2 linked regions of the Macaca fascicularis genome follow. The protein of the gene in region 2 purifies or fractionates together with the protein of the main gene of each other region. This does not show direct contact. Links are inferred from orthologs where the notes say so. Each region holds a gene or a part of one and is shown on either strand. Other genes may lie near its edges. The genes, in order: SYNJ2BP and ESYT1.

The links.
Region 1: the proteins of ESYT1 (region 2) and SYNJ2BP purify together in Homo sapiens (affinity purification with mass spectrometry; 4 studies listed by BioGRID and IntAct, with this or other methods). This does not show direct contact. The link is inferred for Macaca fascicularis from reciprocal best matches to the Homo sapiens genes ESYT1 and SYNJ2BP.

What each region holds. Positions count from the first base shown.
Region 1 is NC_088381.1:138,275,357-138,279,173, forward strand, and holds part of SYNJ2BP (synaptojanin-2-binding protein), read right to left. Parts: intron 2,455-3,817; coding exon 2,318-2,454; intron 1-2,317. UniProt on the Homo sapiens protein: Regulates endocytosis of activin type 2 receptor kinases through the Ral/RALBP1-dependent pathway and may be involved in suppression of activin-induced signal transduction.
Region 2 is NC_088385.1:62,917,036-62,920,852, reverse strand, and holds part of ESYT1 (extended synaptotagmin-1), read right to left. Parts: coding exon 3,785-3,817; intron 3,671-3,784; coding exon 3,597-3,670; intron 3,467-3,596; coding exon 3,394-3,466; intron 3,232-3,393; coding exon 3,142-3,231; intron 2,959-3,141; coding exon 2,903-2,958; intron 2,511-2,902; coding exon 2,387-2,510; intron 2,299-2,386; coding exon 2,122-2,298; intron 2,001-2,121; coding exon 1,918-2,000; intron 1,299-1,917; coding exon 1,250-1,298; intron 1,128-1,249; coding exon 1,041-1,127; intron 935-1,040; coding exon 842-934; intron 636-841; coding exon 534-635; intron 375-533; coding exon 288-374; intron 1-287. UniProt on the Homo sapiens protein: Binds calcium (via the C2 domains) and translocates to sites of contact between the endoplasmic reticulum and the cell membrane in response to increased cytosolic calcium levels.

The sequences.
Region 1 (3,817 bases), on a different chromosome or scaffold from region 2:
CTAACTACATGCTACACCTTTATTTTAACAACCCACTCTCAGCATTTCCTTACAGTACCACTGCCAAGTTGATTCATATTGGATGAATGTCTTTCCCTGGGAGCTAAAGGAAATAATCTGCTTCTAAACTTTTCACTATCCTTTTGAGAAGACAGTATATTATCACTGTCTCCATCTCACAGATTAATAAATAGGGTCTAGGAGAAGCTTAACGGATGGAAGAGAGGCAAAACAGTCAATGAGAAGGACTGAAATACTGTGGTGCTTGATACTATATTTATATTATAGATCAGCGAGGGCACATGCTTAGACATTCTTGAGCTAATTTAGGTGGCTCTAATAGCTACTTGTTCTGATTTTCTTTCTTTTTTGGGGACTAAGTGGAGTCACGGTCTTCCTGAAGAGGCATTCAGATCCATACTGCTGAGCCTGATCACTCAAATACTCAGATGCCAAATGAAGAGAAGATGGATGTTCTTTCTCTTTTCCTTTGTATCTCTGCCTTCAGGTACTACTACCAAATGGGCTGCGTGGCAGAGAAGTGTTCAGTAAGCTGGCAACTAAGAAGAGCAAGAGATTTCACACGTATGACCTGTAATCACTAATCACCTGAACTGCATGAAAAGTGAAGTGAAATTCAAATGAAACTATATAGCAAAAAAAATTTAAGGGATGAAGCTAACTTATTATAGAGGTAGGTTCAAAATCATGTCTCTGAGACTAATACTTAATTCTGTCAATCAAGACTTCTCCTGTCTATACTTCATTCATTTATTTCAATCTTTTCCCAACCTGGCCATCCTGCCCTATTCAGTTCTAAAAGAAAACAGGGAATAGTTTTCTCCTCTTCAGACTGTGGGCTTATGGCCCATCTGGAGAAGACAGGAGCTTCTGCTTAGGAGCTTCTCCTATGAGAAGCCCTATCCTATTTCAATTTCCTTTTATTTAAGTCTAGCCCTTTGAAGCCAGCTCTCCCAAGAATATTCTAGATAATATCTCACACCCTCAGCATTTTTCCATTCTTTATACCAACCATCTGTACTGTTTCCATACGAGTAATAAGTTGGCCATTTTTCACTAGTCCTGAAAGTTAATAAAAAAAGAAATTCTACAGAATAATTATCTCCAATCTACACCTCCTTATCCCCCAGCAACTGATAGTATCATAGGATTACTGTGACCTATGGTAATGTGGAGAAATGAACAATAGGGCCAGAGTTATATTTTGCATTTTAATAGTTTTTACTGTAGGCTTGTTCTAATTTATTTTAAGACCTGAGGTCTGTGGGCCCGTATTTATCAGCTAGTCTTTTTAGGTTTGCCTGAATTTCTTAACTTGTTCATTTCTTAAACATTATTAAACATTGCGCTATGATTCAACATGTTAAAAAAAAGATCTTAGGCCAGGCCCGGTGGCTCACGCCTCTAATCCCAGCACTTTGGGAGGCCGAGGAGGGCGAATCATGAGGTCAGGAGTTCGAGACCAGCCTGGCCAACATGGTGAAACCCCATCTCTATTAAAAATACAAAAAATTAACTGGGCATAGTGGCAGGCACCTGTAGTCCCAGCTACTCAGGAGGCTGAGGCAGGAGAATCACTTGAACCCGGGAGGCAAAGGTTGCAGTGAGCCAAGATCATGACACTGCACTCCAGCCTGGGTGACAGAGCGAGACTCCATCTCAAAAAAAAAAAAAAAAAAAAAAAAGGATCTTGTCACTCCCCTTGAGGAAATTCTAGAAAAGAATAAGATTAATAATTTCCATGTAGTAAGTCTTGGTAGAGACATTAGCAGGATGAAATGGGAACACAGTGGACAGATACCCAAATCAACTGCATTCCAAATTTTCATGTTAATAATGGGTGAAAAAGGGCTCTGAGTCTGAAAAGGACACTTAATTCCAACCTTCCTTCTTTCTGTTTTTTGAAGTTAAATCCAATTATAAGGGCTGACATTCCCCCAAAGGAAGATACACATTAGTGTTTTAATCAACAAAAGGAGGCAATGACGGATGAAAGACAAAATTTGTGGATTTTATATCTCTTTTCCCCGTATGAGTCCCTCGCTGCTTCCTGCCTCGTGCTTTTTGAACAAGTAACTTCACATTCTGGGCTTCACATTCTCATTTATCAGGTGAGCATAATATTGCCCTCCATGCTCAATGATAGGGTTGGAAAGAATGACTGATCAGAGTTGTTCCCATTCAGCTCTATAATCTGTATATTTCCAGACCCAAATCTTTCCAAGGAAAGGGATAGGGGTAGGACCTAGGGCTTAGGGAGCAAAGGACAGTGAAGGAGGCCGAAGCCCATTCTCACCGAAAGTATCTTATCACCCTCCTGGAGCCGCCCATCCAGGGCCGCAGCCCCATTTTCTTTGATGCGGCTGACGTAGATGCCACTGTCGTTGGAGACATACTGCTGATCTGTCCCACCGACGATGTTGAAGCCCAGCCCTGAGAAAATCATGGAGGAGTAAAAAGATGGGGGTGAAGAAGAAAGAAAGGGATTAGAGAAGATGAAGAGAAAGGGAGGAAAAGCCTACTGGGCAGGAAAGGCTGATGGAGAGGAGACGCTGGCGAGTCAGGCTGTGATGGAGCTGGTGAATGGTCATGAACAAGGTCAGCAGTATCAAGAGTATTGAGTTGCTCACTCAAATGAGGCACAACTGAAAATATAAACACAGTGATTCACCTGTTTTGTTGAATATATAAAGAAAGATATATATAGAACTTAAAGAGTAATGGTGATTACTCTAAGTTCTTTCTTTTTTTTCTTTTTCTTTTTTTTTTTTTGAGACAGTCTTGCTAGGGGGCATAGTGGCGGGCGCCTGTAATCCCAGCTACTCAGGAGTTCATAACTCAGTTTCCCAGGCTGGTTATGAACTCCTGGCCTCAAGCAATCACTACTGCCTTGGCCTCCCAAAGTTCTAGGATTACAGGTGTGAGCCACCATGCCCAGCCTACATGTAAATTCTTCTACTCACATTTAATTTTGATCCTGTTGATGGTATTCAAAGGACCCAATTCCTGACATTCCTGATATTACCACAGCAGGGTTAGTTGTGTTCATGAGAAGAAGCTATGCATTTTTACCAATTATCAAATGAACTGTTCCTAATTTAGTGTGAGAGATTCCTAACCATACCTTCCCTTCCACACTTTCCTTCTCCCAAGCTTCTGGAGAATTTATGTATGATAGTGCTTTGGAAAAATCTCTTGAGAGTTTCATTTTTTTTTTTCTTTCTATTTTGGTTGGTGGAGGCAGTGGTGTAGGTATTGGCAGAGAAACCTCAGAATCAGAAAGGTAACTGCTGTTTCATGGTAGGACTAAATCACCAAATTTACCTTCCCTTCCTTTGCTACTTCAAGTACAACTATATATAGGTTGAGTATCCCTTATCCAAAATGCTTAGGACCAAATGTGTTTTGAATTTTGAATCTGGGGGATTTTGGAACATTTGAATTAAACTTACCAGGTGAACATCCCTAATCCAAAAATCTGAAATCTGAAATGCTTCAATGAGCATTTCCTTTGAACATCATGTTGGCCCTTAGAAAGTTTTGGAGTTGGTGCAGTGAGCCGAGATCGCGCCACTGCACTCCAGCATGGGTGATAGAGCAAGACTCCATCTCAAAAAAAAAAAAAAGTTTTGGAGTTGGAAGCATTTCAGACTTCAGATTTTTGGATTTGGGCTACTCAATCTATATTTGGGTATAGTAATTGACAAGTTTTATTCACTGTAGAAAAAACTGACTACTCATTGATTAGCAACTCCCCAGTTCTTCTTCCCTAAGTCCTTGGAAACCACCATTCTAA
Region 2 (3,817 bases):
TGAGGCAGGAGAATTGCTTGAACCTGGCAGGCGGAGGTTGCAGTCAGCTGAGATCGCACCATCGCACTCCAGCCTGGGCAACAGAGCGAGACAGCATCTCAAAAAAAAAAAAAAAAGTATTCTGGAGCAACAGTTGGGGAACAGTGGAGAGATATTCAGGGAGGTGGGGAGTCTAGGTAGATGGATTAAAAATCGGAATGAAGGGAAAAGAAGGAGAGGAGAAATGTTACTAATCTGGATAGACACAATAGGGTATTCAAGAGGGGATAAAGAGGTGATTATCTCACTTGCACATCGAGCTCCTGGCTTTGAGGGTCTTGTAGGAAGAACCGGAATGCTTCCTCCCACACTGGGCAGTTGGTACTGTAGACAGCCTGGAGATGTGGAGGAGGGATTAAGGGTGTACACCACAGCACCACTCCTGTTTCTCCAGAAAACCTCTGCACATAACAGGCATTCTAAGGGGAAACCATTCCAAGAACAGGCCCCTCCCTGTCCCACCTGGCCCCCGACAATGATGTCCCGGCCCTCACCTTGCTCTCCTGAGTCACATCCTGAATTGACAGTTGTACCATGGGGTTGGGTTCCTTGTTCCCCTTCTTCAGCTGTGGTGGGTACAATTCAGAGGTCACCATCTTGGGGGATTTGGTTTTGGTTTTGGTGAAGGAAGGTGGGATCGCATCAAAATCCTTTCCCTGAGATGGATCTGATCCCCTCCCTGGGACCCTTGTGTTACATGCTGATACTTCTGGAGCAAAGCAGGCAGTGACAACTGCATCCTCAGCAAGGCAGGGTTGGGGAATGCTACATCCAGGGCTCCTGTTCACCCAGCCAAACTCACAGGAAGATCCTGGGCCCGATCCAGGTAGACAACTAAGATGGCAGCTGATGGGGGCTCTGGTCGAGAGGAGACTCCCCGATTCCACTGTAGAACCTGGGGAGGGGAAGTAGTAGTCAGATCTTGGTCCCCGTTCCAAGTCCCCTACATTTCCAGCTACCTACTTCTCCCCTGCCAGCTTCCTGTTTCCCATGTGGTGTACCTGCTCCAGTTTCTCTGCATCTGACAAAAGCGACAGCCATTCTAGCCTCAAGTGAACTTGGCCTTGCCCACCTTGTAGAGGGAACCACTAGAAGAAATTGAGATGTGGTAGAGATCAGATATCTGCTTAACTACTTCCCTACCAATGTAGCAACTACCGTCTGCCCAAGGGGTGAGATCAGCCCCCACCTTCCTCTTCTCCCAACTTACATCATCCAGAACACCAGCCTGTAACACCTTCCCTACATCCAGCTTCATTCTGGGATGGGGAGGGGAGAGGGTAGTGAAAGGAAGAAAAGGGGAGTGTTGTAATTAGCAGCAGGTCAGTGGCCCTCCACTCACCCACCGAGAAATGACTGGCAGATCTCAGACTCCCTTATTCCTCTCAGGAGATATTCACCTGCATGCGTGAATGTGTGCATGGTAGGGGTTAGGGGTGGGGAGGTTAGGAAGGAAAATGATACATTATTCCCAGGCCCAGAAGGTGAGTATAATTACCTCCAGAACCTCGGTAGCATGGGCTTTATTATTATTTTTTTTTATTATTATTTTTTCTTTAGAGACGGAGTCTCGCTCTGTCGCTCAGGCTGGAGTGCAGTGGCACGATCTTGGCTCACTGCAAGCTCTGCCTCCTGGGTTCACCTGCCATTCTCCTGCCTCAGCCTCCCAAGTAGCTGGGACTACAGGCGCCTGCCACCACGCCCGGCTAATTTTTGTATATTTAGTAGAAATGGGGTTTCACGGTGTTAGCCAGGATGGTCTTGATCTCCTGACCTCATGATCTGCAAGCCTTGGTCAACAAAAGTGCTGGGATTACAGGCGTGAGCCACCGCACCCGGCCAGCATGGGCTTTAGAATCCTAACAGGCGGAGTCTCACCTGCCCAGAAAGTCATCTTTATCTGGATCCTTGTCGAACACCTCCACTTCAATCTCCTGCCCTGGGACCTCGTGTACCATCACCTGGGGAACACAGAAGGCTGAGTGTCTCATGGGGCTGCAGCTGTGAAGATCATCTCATCAGCATCTTCTCTCACGGCCTCCTGGGGCTTCCCCATTTCACACAGCTGCTCAACTCTCCCACCTCATAAGTCTCTCCCCACTGTGGGTTGAGTTCTTCATCAATGACACGACTGCAGAACGTCTGGGTGCCCAAACGCACAAGTGCGTACGGGTCTGACTTGCCCTCAATCAGGCCCTTCACATATTTGTCCTTGGAACTCAGCCCTCGAGCAGCCAGCAGGTGAATTCGAATAATGCCCTGGAGGAAGGAATCAGATGGTGAGAAACTAAGGACCCAGCAAGGGGTTCCTGAGAGAAGGATCTATCTAGTGGGGAAAAGGCCATACCCTGGGCAGAGGGGAACGCAACTGAGCCACATCTTGAAGGTCAGGCACAAGGGGCACCAGTAATCGATTGGGCAACACGAGGAAGGCAGCGATGGAGTCCATGATCATGGTGTCAGAGAGTGAGCTGAATGGGGGAGTAGAAAGCAATGGGTATGGCCTCAACTTCAATTTTCTCCTAACCCCAACTATGTTTCCCACACCTAAAGCTGTAAGAAAGTCCTTTTGTAAAAATCCTTTGTGCTACTCTTCTACCCTAATTCCCCACCTACTGCTCTCTCCCTTCTTCACTGCCATCCCCATTGCCTTTTGCAGTCTTCAGCCCTCTTCATTCCCTACCTGCTCCCTCAACCCGAAGAAAAATCACAGTATCAAACTTTCCAGGGGTATTTGTCTTCGCTCCCCAACTGAAGTTGAGGCTCCTAGAGGACACAAGCAGCATCTTTGACTGCTCTGTGTCCCTTAAACCCCCAACCCAGCGCTGGAACACTCAGCAGATGCTCAGTAAGTCCTTGATACCTAAGTCCTGGGATATCCAGCAGGTTGGTCATCCCTGTCCAGTTGATGTCTAGGGTCTGCAGGGAAAGAGCAGGGGTCAGGACAGATCCTATGGGGTGTGGTCATACCCATCCAACAGTTGCCAGACCCCTCGGCCTTCTTGTCAATTCCCTTCTCATTCCGCATCGCTGGCTGCCCTCATCCTCCCAGTCCTCTCTGCTTCCCCTGCTTCCCCATACCCCTTCATTGTTTTCCCTTACCGGGCGTCGGATGAAGAACATTGACACAGCCCCCACAATGGGAAGGTCCCCAATGAGTGGCTCCAGAATCACCCGCAAGACACCATGTAGCTGAGGCAAGAAGAGAAAATCAAAGCCTTTCCCCAGAAAAGTCCCTCTTCTGTCCTCCCAGACTTTCTCAGCCTTGGTCTTTCCAACCTCACAGTTCCCCATATCCCATGAAACGTAGGACAAACATTCCCTATTATGTGGGCCCCCTGACATATGGCCTACCTGCATGCCCTTGACTCCTGCTTTGCAGAAGTATTTCTTCACTTCTACATCAATCTGCACATCACCTACATAGCTGGGGATTGGTAAAGAAGAGAACCAAGAGGGTTAGTCCTTGGCTGAAGTTGCGGGGAAGGGGAGTGAAGTAGCCTGGACTGACCAGGACACATTGAAGGGGAAGCAGTAAGAGTGGTGAGTGGTATTACCTGATGTTCAAGTCCAGCAGGATCTGCTCTTTTCTCTGACCTGGGTGAACCTTGACTCCAATGATGCGCAATGGCTAGGGAGAGAGAAAGTCCTGAGACAGGGGAGGGAAAGGGAGAAGTACCTCAGTCTACTCTGGGTCATTCACCCTCCCTATCCCACCGCCTCACTTTTCCTCCTCCACACATACCTTTTCACCCAGTTCCACTCGTGTAAATGTAAA